Linked DNA regions of Diceros bicornis minor. The protein of the gene in region 1 interacts with the protein of each later gene in a pairwise test. Links are inferred from orthologs where the notes say so. Each region holds a gene or a part of one and is shown on either strand. Other genes may lie near its edges.

Region 1 (7,892 bases):
AGTGGAGATGCGCCCCCACACCCCGTCAGGAAGGGCTTGCTGACCTCGGGTGGGGAGTGGCCACCTCCCCCCCACTTCCCGCTGCCGCACACCAACCCCACTTCAGCGTCTGCTCCTGAGAACCACCCATGACCACCGCCTGCTGGTGGCCAGAAAGGAAAGATGGGGCTTGGGGGCTGGAGGAGCCCAGACCAAGCCCATCCCTCTGCAGACCTGGAGTTGGAGAGAATGCACTGATGGGGACTTGTGCTGGCACAGACAGCAAGCCTGGCAAGTGTGTCACTGACAAGCCCTGGAAAGACCACTGAGGGCTGAGGCCAGCTCCACACCAGCAGCAGCTCTGGCCCCTACACAGAATGGCAGGGCCAAAGACCAAACCAGCATCACTAAGCTCAGAGCTCTGCAGGCCAGACTGGTGCCAGGAGGGCAGTCAGCCCTGGGCTTGCTGACAGCAAGTGTCACAGGATCCCCTACAACAGTTAACCACCAGAGCCTGGGGACAGCTAGGGGACAAAATGGAACATAGCACCCCTCAGAAAAGATAGATACACAAAGTGGGGACATATGAGGGACAGACCCACTGGGCGCGGGGCATGAGGGATGCAGCCACAGGTCTGGCGAGTCCACCCTCTATCCTAATCAGACCACCGGAAGCACCCGCATTCAGGAGCACCTTCGCCACTCTGCCCCAGCTCTCCTGCCTGTCACAAGACCCCAGGGACCTGGAACATCCACATTGACTCCTACGGCAAGGCCGTTCCACTAGCTGGGCAGGACTAGCCAGCGGTCAGCGAGCTGAAGGCCCTGGTGATGCATGTGTTCCAGGGGGTGGGAGACACCCGGGGAGACCCAGGCCTGGCAGCTCTGGACAATTCTTAGGGTATAGTGAGCAGGCTACCCCGACCCCAGCACAAGACAAGCTCTTGTATATGCATTTGCTACAAAAGAGAAACCCAACGCAGCCCTCCTGGGTCCTGCAGGCCATCAGTCCCGCACACAAAAACTTCTCCAGCCTACATACTAGGCAAGGTGAGGACAGTGGGCTGGCCGTCTTGGGGCTGACACAGGGAGCTGGCAGGCCCTACAGCGGAGGTCTCCGTGGCAGCAAGCCCAGTGAGACAATCACCAGGCAGCCCCTGGGGCCCCAGGGAGTGGCAGAGGACTTCTGGCATGCAGCTGGGCCCTGGCAGACGGATGCTGGAGCTGCCACCATACCCAGTGGATGTCAGGTGATGATCCAGCAGTGGTGGCAGCGACAGGAGAGCACACCTGGGGCTCAGTGTGAACAAGCCCAGGGGCACAGCAGGCTGCTCTGGCCCCACAGCACTCGCCACGCTCCAGACCCTGATGGCTGCATCACGTGTGGCCACGTGGGGGGATCCCACACAACCAGCAGAAAGAGGGAAGGGCTCAAGCTTGGCTTCTGGGTGGGCCCACACCAAAGGTCTCTTAGGTGTGGCCTAGAGGAACAGAACAGAAGTCCTCCCCGCGGCAGAGCGCCAGTGGTCCCCCTGGTCCCGCTTGTGTGGGCAGACGCGGCCCAAGGCTAGCATGCACACAGACCCATAGGCAGCAGCACACAGCCTAGATGAAGGTCTAGGGCAGACATGGAGCAGTGGACATGGGGAGTGAAGGTCCACCAGACATCTGCCGGGGACAAAATGACTCGACTGGCCCAATACAGTGCTGCGGTGCTGGACCACATGGGGGCCAGGGCCCAGGACGCAGCATCGGGGAACGGGGAGGGGAGTAAGAACTCCACTTCCCATCCCCCCAGTGACCCACAGGGGACTCCACTGCTCCTTCCCAGCTCTGGGCTCTACAGGGCTGGGGGTGTGGTCAGCACGCTCACCAGGTGCATGGCAGGAGACCTGCTGAGTCACAACCCCTGGCTGCCTCCTGGGCACACTGGACAACCCGTGTCCAGGGCCCAGCGGAGACCCCTCTCTGGCAGGAGGTAACTGACCCCATCAGCAGGAGGTGGGGCGCCCACTCCACAGCAAGCCAGAGAGCACATGAGGAACCCAGGGGACCACCAGAGAAGGCGACCTCAGCAGTCAGGGCTCAGCCCCTCATGATGAAACCATGGCACAGGCAGAAGTAGCAGTGCAGGGGGCCACAACCAGCTGCAAAGCTGGCCTGTGGTGTGGCTTGTCCCTCTCCTCCCTCTTCCAGCTTCCCCTCAGGAGGAAGCCCCAATCTTGGAGGAACTGCTCCCCAAGGCAAGGGCATGGATGCAAGCGTAGCACAGTGGGTGGTGGCCAACACAAGAACCTGCCACCTGCTGCAGCCTTGCTGCCCAGTGGCAGGCAGTGTACCCAGTGATCTGTCTCTACTTGGCTCCTGCAGGACCCACTTTGATCCACAGAGAGCCTCCTTACCAGATCACAGCTGCCCAGGGCAGCCCACCATGGTGACCCCCCAGGCAGTATGGAGTCCCAGCCAGCTTGGCCTGACAGTGGGCAGCTGTGAGCAGTTTTCCTCCAGGGCTCCCCACTGGGCCAGCCACAGTCCCTCTGGCCCCAGCACCCGAGCTGACCCCTCCCCCTGCCTAGTCCCATGTCCTCTTGGCTCCCTTCCCAGGTGCTGGTCACCAACACGAACCCTGCACCCCAACCTCCGTCTCAGCACCTGCTCTTGAGACCCTTGCCTGTGACACAATGGTGGAATCTGTTTCACTCCCCACACGGGTCTGGGGTTCGGACAGTAGGCTTGGCTCTTCCTCAGTCCAACTTAAATGGCCACAGGGAGCCTGTCAGTCACCTTTTGGCAACAGAATGGAAGCTGCTCTCTTGGCTAGAAATCAGAGCAAGAGAAAATGCTTTGGAAAAGGTGACTGGGTACCTACTGCTAGAGTCAAACCAGAAATGAGAACCAAGGCACTCAGTTCTAAACACATAGGCAACCAACAAGTACTGGGGCGGGCATGTCTGCACCAAACCCACCATGCCAATCCATTGGGACAGGGCTGCCTAGGGAAGGAGCTAGGTCTGTCCCATTCACCGCTAGACCCCAGTGTTGGGCACAGGCTGAGCTGGAGACAGACTCCAGTCTTGAGGTTTGGGGGGAGGAGCACCACACTGGGGTCTCAGAAATGCCCGAAACTTATATCAAAAGAGGATGCAGTTGCTGTGGGTCTCTGAGGACATCCTCCCGGATGGGGAAGAGACCACCACGGAGTACAGGTCCTAAGCTAGGATTGAAGGAGAGGGACCCAGCGGGGGAGACGCAGGCCCTGCTGGTGGGGCCGAGTACTGCAGGTGTGGTGCCTTCCCTACATCTGTTTCTTGGCCATCTTTTGTCTCGTCCTGGGGTGAGTAGCAACGACAATCTCTAAGCCAAAATGAACCAAGTGTGTCCTCACTGCTGGGGGAGGAGTGCGGGAACTGGGATAGGACTGGGGGGGTGCTCAGGAACAAAGTGGGTGATGGCGGCTGCTGACAGGAGGGAAGGAAGGTGAGCCTGAGGCTTTCTGAGGAGAGGAAAAAGCCCAGGGGTGCCACCTGGGCAGAAATGGCACAAGGGGCAGGCGGTACGCGGCATCTATCTTACCTTGTCCCACAGAGACTGCAGCTCTTCCTGCCCCCCTAAGTCCCAGAACAGGAGGCGAGCCTTTCCCACATCCACAGTGCCAACTGGGAGAAGAAAACAGGCAAGGCTGTGGCCTTGGTCCCTGACACACCATCTCCCAGCTCTCCGGGGGCAGAGGCCACTCTGGTGCTCCTCGAGGACCAGCCGACAGAGCTGGAGCAGAGGCCTCACACACAAGGCTCTGCTGCCTGCCTACTGGCCTGAGGACGTCACAGCATCCTGAGGGGTCTGCCCCCCAAACCCACAGCCCTAAGGGATCCCCTTACTGTTTAGACCCACGGTGGTGGTGATTTTGGATAGACTCATCCCCTTGTAGTTCTTGTTGAACCGGGTTTTTGACTGCTCCAGAAAGGTCTGCGGAGCAGGAAAGAGGCATTAGATAAGGACTAGAGATGTTTTCAAGTCTGTTTTGCTAATGTCTTTCCTTAACCCATTCCTTTAAAACAAAACAAAACACAACAACGTTTTGCTTTTAAAGCAGCTTGTGGTGACCATCCCGCGGCCTTAAATGGGGTTTGGATTCTGTCCAGGTGGTGGGCATACTAGTAAAGGCACAAACCAAACGGAGAGGGAGCGCAAGCACGCACCGTCTTCCCGGCATTGTCCAGACCCAAGATCAGGATGCAGTACTCGTCCTTCTGAAACATGTACTTGTACAGGCCCGACAGCAGCGTGTACATCCTGCCCTGGGCACCGCGAGAGACCAGTCACGACGCTCCGACCGGCGCCCGCCTGCCCTGCCTGCTGACAGCCCAGATCTGGTCCGGAGCACTCCCGACTCCTCCCGCCGCCCGTCCCTCTTCGGTCTCCCCACTCTGCCCTCTTCCCCGTAACTCTCTCCATCCCTCCGGACCGCCGGCTGGTGTCCTCGCCCCAGGGCGCTCCTCCTCCCCAGTCACCGCCGGGCCTCCCTCCGCTCCCCGAGCCTCAGGCCGGTCAAGGCCCCACGCCCTCCCGAGCCCCCCGGGCGCTCCCACTCCGGCCCGCAAGGACGAGCCACCCCTGCCCGCCCGGCCGGAGCCCGGGAAACAGCGGGAACCCCGGACGCCCGCCTCCGGGAGCCGGGTGCGTGTAGGGGGCGGCCTGGGGCGGGCAGATGGGGACAAGCCGCCCCGCCCGGGGCCCCGCCTCCCGACGCCCCGACCGGACACCGGCCTTCGGGGCCCGCCGGCCGGCCGCCGAGAGCTGCTCCGGATCGGCCGCCGGTCCTCGCCGCGACCTCGGACCCGCCCGGGAGGCGAAGAACCTGCCCGTCTACCTACGCCCGCCGGCCGCCGCGCCTGAGCCCGCGGACCGCTGACCCCGCGCGGCGCCCGACGGGACACGGGCCTGCTGTCCCGGCAGCCCCCACGCAGGCACTTCCGGTGGCGGCCGCGCTCGGCAGGAAGTGCGCGTTGGCGGCGAGGGCGGAAGCGGGACGCCGGGCCGCTCTAGCCGGTGAGGCGGCGGGCTCTCTATGGCCTGGCGGGGGCGCGGAGGACCGAGGGAGCCCGGCGGCGGCGCCCCGGGCGGGCAGACGCGGCGTGGGGCCGCGGCCGGGCTCCGGCTGTGGCTCTTCCGCTTGGAGCCGAGAGCCGTTCCCCGCCTGTCTTCTCGTCCCTGCGGCGGGACCGCGGGCGGCCCTGAGGGTGGCCTGGGGGCCCCGCGCCCGTCGGCTCAAGCTCCGCCGGCTCACCGGCTTCTCTCCCCGCAGCGCCGCCTCCGGAGGATCCGGGCCGACCCCCAGGATCCGGGCCGACCCCCAAGGACCAAGCCATCCCCCGAGGACCAAGCCATCCCCCGAGGTCCCGGGCCGCCTCCCCCGACGACCGAGCCGCCCCCCGAGGACCGGGCGCCCCCGGGATGGACGAGGACAGCCTGCAGGCCGCCCTGCAGGCCCACGGCGCGCAGCTGCGGCAGGTGGAGCGGGCCCTGCGCGCCGGCCTGGACGCCTCCGAGCTGGCCGACCTGCGCCAGCTGCAGCAGGACCTCAAGGAGCTGATCGCGCTCACGGAGGCCAGCCTGGTGTCCGTCAGGAAGAGCAAGCTGCTGGCCGCGCTGGACGGCGAGCACGCGGCCCGGGACGAGGCCGAGTACCTGGCCTTCCAGACGGCGGTGGCCGAGGCCGTGGAGGCGCCGGGAGCCCCGGGGGCAGAATCGGAGCCTGTCCCCGAGAGAGAGGCCGGGCCGGAGGAGGCCGGCGGGGAGGCCGGCGGGCTGAGCGGGCGGAAGGTGAGCGCGCCCTACCGCAGCCCCTGGGGCACCCTGGAGTACCACCACGCCATGGTGGTGGGCGCGGAGGCGGCGGCCGGCGGCTGCGCGGGCGTGCGCGTGCTCTATCTCTACCCCACGCACCGCGCCCTGAAGCCCTGCCCGTTCTTCCTGGAGGGCAAGTGCCGCTTCCAGGAGAGCTGCAGGTGAGCGCGGGCCGGCGGGCGGGCGGGCGGGCTCGCGGCGTGTCCTGGTCTGTGGTCTGTGTCTCCCTGGGTTCCCTCGGGTCAGTCGGGAAGGAGGCACCTTCTTCGCGGTGAGACCTCTGCAGTGTCCGTCCGTCGTGGAAACTCGCCCGCGCGAGGTTAGGGAGCGCGGCCGCCCGCGCCGTCCTTGCCGGCCGTCTCCTCCCGTCTGTCCTCCTGCCTTGGTTTTTTTTCCTTGGACTACTTTAAAGCGAATTCTGGAAGTTGCTAGTTTTTTCACCTATAAATAGTTAAGAATGCACCCCTAATCTAACTGACAAGGACGTCATAAAAAGGTCATCTCCGTGTCGCCGTTGCGCCCGACAGAGGGAACCGCAGTGCCCCGTCCCTGCTGACGTTTCCACGGCCCCTGTGACGGTGTCTTCTTTTTCTCAGGGCGCGACTTTGATTTTGCTCCTTCGTGCTTTGTCTTGAGAAGGAATATTGACTGAAATTTCTAGTAGATAATTCTCTTTTTTAGCCAATAGTCCAGGGTAACTGTCTCTAGCTCTTTGGTCGTGTTATTTCCTTATAGACTTTTGCAGGGTCCCAAGTCTTATCTGGTACGTCTCCCTTCCTTCCTTCTTTCTTTGTAAGTTTTATTAAAGAACAGCACACATACAGGTTAGCACGTAGATCATGAGGGGACTTGGAGAGCTTTCAGAGGAGACACAGCCTGTCCCCAGTACACATGTTAAGTAAGAGACGTAATGTTTCTATCCTTTTTTCCCTAGTCTCTGGGGGGCACGTCCACATGTGATGTCCCCTGTGGTGGTGAGAGCTGGCATGTCCATGTGCTGCTTCCTCTGGGACAGGCACTTTCCTCGAGTGTCACAGTATGGACTGTGTCTAGTGTCCCCACGAGGTGGCCTGCCACCACTCAGGGTGCATGGTTCCGAGGGGCGGAGCTGGGGCCCCAGCAGTCTGGCTCTGAGACATCCCCACTCGCCGTGATTTGCGCTGTCAGCTTTAGGCCCCACCGACACATCCTACACACACCCACCTCGCATTACTCAGCACTGCTAAGTTATTTACTTGCATTTGGTTTAGATTTTTAAAAATACAATAAAATAGACAATGTTGAAGCACTCTTTGACCACTCTCTGCTGCAGTCCCCTCTCTGTCCCGGGAGGCTGTCATTGTCACACTTGGGTGTGTATCTCTCTAGCGTGTGTTAGTTCTTTACAGGCATACGTGTGTCTGTAAGTGGTACATGTCTGTGCTTTGTTGTCTAAGTGGTGTCATACGGCAGTTCGTCCTGCACCTTGCTGTTTCCGCTAAGCGTGTTTGTGAGAGACCGCCGGGTTGATGTTTATAGAACTGTTTCATTCATTTTCACTGCTGTGTTATCTTCTTTCATGTGAATATACCACATTTTACTCACTCTGTCCCTTTCTGATGTTTTCCAATTTTTATTTGTTACAGTGTGCTGTGAACATCCTAATACTGTCTTCTTTTGTAACTGACGAGAATTTCCCTAGTGTGTAGCCAGCGTGGAGAGTGTGTGCAAATTTTCTGTTTTCATGTGATGTATGTTTCCTAGTCCCTAGTCTTCTCCACAGTCACCTGCAGTGACATTATCCGACTTGCAGATTTGTGCCTATTGAAAGCTGGGAAAATGGTGTCTTGACTGAATTTGTATTTCCTTGATTACTGGCGAGATTGAGTTTCTTTTCATATATTTGTTGTAACTTAATCTCTATATTTCAGTCTCCTTATCTGTAAAACAGAGATGAGAATCATCTTTCACAGTTGTTGGGAGAATGGAGTGCGTTAATATGTGTCAAGAGTGTAGAGCAATACCTAACATACAGTTAAGCACACAGTAGATTTTTAGTTCTTACGTTGTTATTGTAAAATAAAATC
Region 2 (7,888 bases), on another chromosome or scaffold:
GGACTAGCTTTTAATAGGGAGGAGTGGAGCATTTCAACAGGCTCAGCAGGTTGAAGGGAATTTAGGGATTCAAGACTTTTTGGGTATATCAACCTAAATGTCCCCATCCCCTGTGTCAGAGTCCCACCCTTTCCCAACCAGGGCCCTAACCTTGACATCATGCCTGCCTAAGTGGTGAGTTTAACCTTCTTTAGAAGTTCCCACTTGGTTTTCTGCTACTGTTATATTTAAGTCCTGGGACCGGTCCTCAGTTTTCTCTGTCTTCCCACTGCAGGAGATGAGAACCTCTTCACACGCTCCCCAGAAGGTCTTCTGGTTTTCACACTTAGCTTTGAATTGCAGATTAATCACTCTCAGCCTTTCATTACCTCCCTCCAAAGTATCAATTCTACATAGCAATAGCCGTCAAATTCCAATGTGCTTATAGTTACTCTTTCCCCCATAATTTGAGAACAACGCATGCTCTTTCGCTGCACACCACATGCTCTTTCCCACAGCTGAAACTTTTAACAACTGCCCTGCTTTCTTGTGGTAGCTATATTCTACCTGCCACCACTGATTCCTTGTGGGCCAGCAACCAGTGGCCAACCCCCAAATCCAGTCATAGTGTCTGCTTTCTTGGACCATTCCTGGCACCAAATCTTTTAGGTTGAGTTCCATGAAAAGTACACATGAGGAAAAGATTAGGATTCACGAAGTTTATTAAGGAGTCCACAACGATCAACACCAGTGGAAGGGAAGAGATGAAGGCAGGATCAGACAGAGGGAAAAACTGTGCTGTGATGCTATTGTATAATAAATGATTTGACTGGCTTTTGTCCTCGGTTCCTGAGAGGTAACTTTTAAACCCCTGTAATTTCCCAAGTGATAGGAGTGTCTTTGTTATTTATGGTGGGTCTTTGGACCACATCTGAGTTTATGCTACTGAAACGATTCAGGATGAGGGCTGGTCATGTGAGAAAGATCAACCATGTGATTAAAGGGTTGAAGCTTTGAGCCTTGTGATATCAGCCTGACTTCCTGACCTCCAGCGAGGGGAAGGGGGCTGGTGATTGAGTTCAATCATAGGGCCAATGATTCAATCAATTATAGCTAGGTAATGAAACCCCAATAAAAACTCTGGATACTGAAGCTCAGTGGAACTTCCTGGTTTCTGAACATGTTGAAGTGCCAGGAGGGTGACATATCCTAATTCCACAGGAAGAAGATACAGAAGCTCTGTGTTCAGGACCCTCCCAGATCTCACCCTATGTGTCTTTTCATTTGGCTGGTCCTGATTTGTATCCATAATAATAAAACTGTAATCACAAGTATAGCACTTTCCTGAGTTCTGTGAGTCATTCTAGCAAATCAGTGAACCTGAGGGACTTGTGGGAATTTGTAGCCAGTTGGTGAGAAGGGTAGGTGGCCTGGGGACTCCTGAACTTGTGGATGGCATCTGGAGTGAGGGCAGTCTTGTTGGGGACTGTGCTCCCAACTTGTGGGGTCTGAGCTACCTCTGGGTGGTTAGTGACCAAACTGCATTGCAGTATAGAAGATACCATTATAACAATGGCCTGAGATGATCCCACAGAGAGCTCTGATGCTCTGAAGCTCACAGTTGTCCCAAGCTGGGGAGAGGGGCTAGGCGCTTATACCTCCACAATATATTCAGACTGCCCTTGGGCAGCTCTCTTTAGCCAATGAAGTTTTTGAAGGGAGCTGACAGCTGAAGGTTGTCTGCAGGTAGCACTCCCAGGAAGTGAGGGATGTTTTTCATTCTTGAAGCAGGATTTCCATGCCAAGTCACAGTGCCGACCGCACTTTGTAACTATTTCTATCTATTAAATGGTAGAGTGAGGATAGGGTGATTAAAAGCAGTAGTGGAGATTCTTTTGAATTTGTAAGCATTTTGCAGCTGAAGAGAATTCAGAGTGAGATTGGTGGGATGATCCTGGCAAATTCTCATGAGTGATCATATCGTTGTCCTACTTAAACCCTTTTGATGTCTTCTTATTGCTCTTGGGAAGGATAAACTCTTAATATCCTTAGCAGGACTCCTCAGGCTCTGCATGATACGGCCCCTTCTTGCATCTGCAAGATCATGTCATCTTCATCTCATTGCACTCATGTTGTTCTGTCTATGGATTGCACCTGACTTTTTAAAGTCTCAGGGCCTTTGCACAGGCTGTGCCCTCTGCCTGGAATGCTTTCCTTCCTCTTCACCTGACGAATTTGTACTCATTTTTTAGGTCTTTGTTTAAATGTCCCTTTCTCAGAGAGGTCTTCCCTAACCCTCACTCTGGATCAGGGCCACCTGTTATATGCTCTCATAGCACCTGTCCCCTTTAGATGGCCTTTTTAGCACTTATCTGAGCTGTAACAATGTAGTTATGTGTTTCATTGTTTCATGCCTGTCTCTGTCCCTCTGATAAGTGCCATGAAGGCAGGAACTGTGGCTATTTTGTTCTTTCCTCTCTCCCCAGCTCTTAACTCAATGCCTGACATGGGGATTTAATAAATATTTGGTGAGTGAATAAGCAAATGAAGTAATTAAAGGATAGATAGTAGTGATACAGGGTAGTGGTTAATAGTGTGGCTCTGGAGTCTTACTGGATTCAAATCCTTTAAATCTTGACTTGTCCATCGAAAGCTGTGTAAATGAGTCCTCCCCTTGGACAACGTAGAAACTTCAGTTTATCAGTTCACACTGAGTTCGTCAGATTGAGGGAACTTATCCTCAAAAACCTCGGAGAATAATGTGGAATAAGAATACCTATTCATCATCAGCGGCACAGCGTAGCACTTAAGCACACAAACTATCTGAGATGAATCCTAGAACTGTCATCTTTGCCACAATACTTGGCATTTTTGTACAGCAGTTTCCTCACCTGTAAACGAGTGTCAAAGTTGTTGTAAGGATCAAATAGGTTAAAATATATAAGAAACAGTGTCTGGTACCCAGTAAGTGCTTTCTATGTGTTTGCCATAATCATTATTGTTTATTAATTTAGGTTGGGAGACACCTCTGGCTTGACACCTAGAGCTGGTTAGCTGCATAAGACATTTTCTCTATTTGAATAAATTCATGCCACAGACCAAATAACAGATCAGAGGGTTGTCTAATAGACAAAAAGTAAGAGTAAAGGAAATATTCTCTGGTAACATTTCCAGGAAGCTGTAGGGGACCTTGATGGATGGTTCTTCTCTGCTATAGGGACAATTCTGCCTGAAAATCCAGAGTAAGTCATCTAGACCTCAGGGAGTGTGAACATCCTGGCAGATTCTGGCCCTTGGTTCCCCTTGTTGTAGATTCCAGAAAGGGCACTATCCTTTGGTAAATATGGCCTTTCTTCAGTCATTCAGGTTACACCAAAATTGATTAGGTTACACTTTTCTTTAGATATACCCTAAGCCCAAGGAGGAAGTCTTATTACTCTGATTTCAGTTCCTCCTTTACCAAGTCTCCCTGCTGATGCCTCTTAGGGTGGGGGCACTTCTGCAGGTAGAATTCTAAACTTTTCCCTCATTATTTTGCCAAAATTTTAGAGTACTTTATAGAAACCCTCAAACTGGGAATCTGGAGACCTGGGACTGGCATAGAGTGAAATCTGGATTTTAGTTCTGACTTTGACACTAACTTGCTGCATGAACGTGGGCATGACCTAGGGGCTCAGGTTTTCTTGTATGTAAAATGTTGCAGAAAATCAGCTGGAAATTCTTTTCCAGGTTTACAATTCAGCGATTATGCATCATGATCTCTGACTAAAGTCAGTATACATACTGTTAATGTACATTTAGGGTAGAAAGTAGCAGTGAATATTTTACGTGAAAATATTCACTTTTCTTCGCACTGACTTTGGAATGTGGATTTGCTTCAAAAATAAAAACCCTCTTTATCAGTTGCAATATTAAAGTTGTATTTAACCTTAGCGATTGCAGTTCTGAGGACTTGATAAGAACCTGAATATGGTCTTCCAGGGTAGCCAAACAGCCATTTCATGAACTACACAGATGACCCAGCTTGGGCTGGTCCACAGATCTTTTTCTTGTGCATTTCTTCTGGGAATGATTGCAACTGAGCAAGCAAATAGGTTCCGGTTGGAGAGATCCACAAAAATCATGTCATCTTACCCCATCACTTTGCTATGGCTTTAAGGACAGCCCTAATGGCTGTGTGACTTCTTAATCTCCCTCAGGCTTAGTGTCCACATCTATAAAATAACACCTACCTTGCAGGGTTCCTGTAACAATGAGGACAGAGCTCGGGTTAACACTGTGAAAGCCCATAATAGGCACACAGAAAAAAAAAAGCTTATTATGCCCTTACTGTCAATTTTCTTTATTCCAATAAAAATTACACCAATGTTGACTGCATGTTGCCCGTGGTGGGTAAAATAAGGCCAAAATGGATTATGGCAAGTCTTGAGATTTTTCTCACCTTAGTTTCTTAACTGCAATTGAGAGCATCTGGTCAGTGGCTGCAAGTTCTAGATCTGGAGTTATAAAATAGTTGGGTTCCAATCCTGGCACTCTGTCCCTTATCAGTTGTGTGATCTTGATTAGTTTCTAAACCTCTCCGGGTCTCAGAGTCCCCTAAAGCCAGGGTAATACAGACAGATAGGACTACACTTCCCCGCCTCTCAATTTCCTAAAACAGAGGTGCGCGAAGGCTCACGCCACCGAGCAGCTCCTCAGACGGCGGAAAGCACCCGAAGGAGGGCGGGCCAAAGAAGCCACAGGCGAGGCGGGAGTTCCCGCCTCCTATGCGTGCGCGCGCTACGCGCGCACGCAGAGCACGCTCCGGAAGCGCGCGCGCGCAGGCCCAGCCCTCGTCGCCGCCGCCATTTTAGCTCCTGGTTCCGGCCGCACGGTGTAAGCTGTTGTAGCGGGAGGGGTGGGGGGGGTCCTCCGGAGTTAAGTAGCTGCCCTCGACTGCGCCCATCCAGCCGCCAGCTTCTCTTTTTGTCTTTCTTCTCGACCGTCCGCTCGAAGAGTCCGAAGATGTCCAAGCGGCACCGGTTGGACCTGGGGGAGGATTACCCCTCCGGCAAGAAGCGTGCGGGGACCGATGGGTAAGCCAGGCCGGGGGCGCGAGGCAGCGGCTCGGGCTTTGTTGGGGTCCCGGCAGGGAGCGGGCCAGGACCGGCCGGGCCGAGCGGGCCCCGGAGCCCGACCCTTTGTTCCCTCTGGGCTCGGCTCAAGGCGGCGGGTCGGGGACAGCGGCGCCACTCCCGACGTTCGCCCGGCAAGGGCGCGGGATGTGTGGCGCGGCCGCCGCCCGGCCCAGTCGGGAGCGGGTGAGGCCTGCTGTGGCCACGAGGACGCCTCCTCCCCGGGCCGAACCAAGCGGCAGTCGCTTCGAGGGGAGCGGGCGGGAGGGAACCGCGGACCGCGTGGCCTGGCTTCCCGGGTAAGGCTTGGGGCCGGCGAGCAGGGTGGGGGAGGGCGCGGCGGGAGTATTCACTTCCAAGGACACCAGGTGCTCCTCAGGCAGAGGGGCCGGGGAGAGGGCCTCGACGGGCGGCTGGGGGGCCAGCAAGGGAAAGACGGGGGCGGAAAGTGAGAGAAGCGCTTGGATTCTCGTGAAGGCTGGGATGGGGGTGGCGGGAGTTGAGTGAGGCGTGCAGACCAGGAGTTCTCGGGGGAAGGGAGAGTCGAGGGCCTGCCGGGAGAAAGGAAAACGTGGAGTATACCTGATGGGCTGGAAGGCTGCTGGTTTGGAGCCTCTGAGTTTATAGTTTGGCGGGAGACCGCGTGCCTCGGTCCATTCAAACACTTCAAAGAAGATACTAGGCAAACTTCCGCTCTCTGCCTATGCTCCCGCCATCTCCTTTATTTCCTGCTTTGGCTAAAACAGTGGTTTCGGAGGATCTCTGGGATAAGCGTTAGAAGGCATTCATTTTTTCCAATAAGTTCTTGTTTTCTAACCCCCCACCCCCACCCACGTTCATAACCATCTTTTGAAACCCGATGCTTTTCTAAAATGTTTCTGGTATTTATGGAAAAATAGCGCCCTTGGGGAGGTTGTGAGTTGAAATACTCAGACTCGTAGTGTTTCAGATTCCTTTCCTTGAGCGTTTCCTTAAACGTACAGGGGAATTTAACAATTGACTTGAGCAGTTGCATCAGAATCTTGTCTTCTCCGGTATATGTGTTCATTCCTGAAATAACAGAGATTTATTTGGATAACTCAGGCAAAAATAGAAAAGTCTGAACATCCAAATACTTAGCATAATTTTATCATTTTATTGTGTGTGTACGTGTACAGAATCACTGTGTTAGGTCGTCTGTGTAACTTTTATATGAGTTTTTGTTCACCCAAAGTCCTTCATTTGGGTTGATTTCCAGGTATTTGTTTAATGTCGAGAGTATAAGCTGAGATAGAGTGTACTTTTTGATACCTTCCTATGTGTTGAATATGGAGAGCAACAGTATGTAACATTTTAGCCTTGTAAGGTTTTTAGTTTTCAATGTTAGACATTAGTTTTCTCTCTCTTAGGCTGTCTCCTCTCCCACTCCAATACTTTAGCTCATTTGAGCTACACTCACAGACTCATTAGAGCTGGAAATGACTTAGAAATGGAGACTCAGAGTTGTTAAGGTGGCTTGTGCAAATTTACGTGGTTTACAGCTGGATCTAGAACCTTGATCTTTTCATATTCACTCTTAGCCTCTTGCTTTTTCCATTACAGCACACAGTCTATGACTGTAGTTAAGAGTCATTACAGCCGATTTTAATGACATTTAGAATGGGTTGTTAAAGTAGGGAACACTTGGTTCTTGGTTTCTGTGAAGCAAAAATAAATTGCTTGTCTGCTGGCTAAGATGCAACTGATAGCTCTCACAACAGTTAAGATTGGAACAAAACATGCTGGGAAGGAATGAATTCACTAACTCATAAATGTGTGTATGTGCACCACTTAAACGCTTTTTTGGGATTGGTGGTCCCATATGTATGTGGGCTTGCTCGCTTTCTCTTGCAAAACAGATATCCTAAGTAAAAATGTGGACTTTTTAGACCTTATGATTCTCTTGGATATTATGTGGCATCTACCTGTAGGTGAAGGAGAGTTCATCTTTGGAATAAAGTCCGAGTTCTGAGGTTCTGGAGGGAAGTTTGTATACTCAGTTCTATGTCACTTGAATGTCATTTCTCATAGAACTAATTTTCTTTAGCACTGGGCTTACAATGTTTATTAGTGTTCAGGTCTTTTTTTCTTTAATATTTGATAATTTAAGAAGTCGCTTTCGCTGACTGCCATGCAATCTTGCAAGTTTTGTTTTTGTTTGTTTTTTAAGTCCTGGTAGTTAGCAGGTGGTTTTTACTGAGAGGGTAGGCTTGTTGGTCTTGTGAACTCCACTGCCAAACACTGCTGTCCCATTTCCCCAATACTGAGAGGGGAAGGTAATTCCTTGGGAGATTTCACTCATATTCAAGCTCCCAAACTATATATGGCTTTATTTATTCCTGATATATTTTAATTTTGGGGTCAGGTAGAGAAGTTAAAGGTTTCTGTTATATAGTGACCTTATTCCTTTTTCTATCATCCCACAAAATTTTCCATATAAAATTATTACCAAAAGACAACTTACTAGTGAAGTATGGAAAAAACTTTGAAAATATACTGTGCTCCTGAAACTATTCTAGGTGCCTTATGTGTATAAGCACATTTTCACTACATTCTTGTGATGTAGGTAGGTGATGTTAAGTAACTTGACCCAGGGAACGCAAGAAATGTCCATACGCAAAGATATAAAGGAAAAGGCAAAAAATTTCTTGAAGTCTTTGTGCTTATGCTTAGTCCCTTGAGGAACATTTTTTTAGATCTCTGCATTTTATTCACAAATGTGAACTATCATAATATCAATGGGTTATTTCAATATGTGTTGTTTTGTGCTTTGATTT

The links. The genes of interacting proteins can lie anywhere in the genome.
Region 2: the proteins of ZGPAT (region 1) and DHX15 interact in binary tests that used the Homo sapiens proteins (3 or more experiments, as listed by UniProt). The two-hybrid records come from large-scale screens. The link is inferred for Diceros bicornis minor from reciprocal best matches to the Homo sapiens genes ZGPAT and DHX15.

The regions. Positions count from the first base shown.
Region 1 is NC_080758.1:499,964-507,855, reverse strand, and holds the start of ZGPAT (zinc finger CCCH-type with G patch domain-containing protein), read left to right. Parts: upstream 1-4,882; 5' UTR 4,883-5,028; intron 5,029-5,284; 5' UTR 5,285-5,433; coding exon 5,434-5,987; intron 5,988-7,892. Other genes in the region: ARFRP1 (ADP-ribosylation factor-related protein 1), read right to left, coding at 3,553-3,635, 3,858-3,945, 4,179-4,434. UniProt on the Homo sapiens protein: Transcription repressor that specifically binds the 5'-GGAG[GA]A[GA]A-3' consensus sequence. Represses transcription by recruiting the chromatin multiprotein complex NuRD to target promoters.
Region 2 is NC_080747.1:19,849,717-19,857,604, reverse strand, and holds the start of DHX15 (ATP-dependent RNA helicase DHX15), read left to right. Parts: upstream 1-4,886; 5' UTR 4,887-4,983; coding exon 4,984-5,054; intron 5,055-7,888.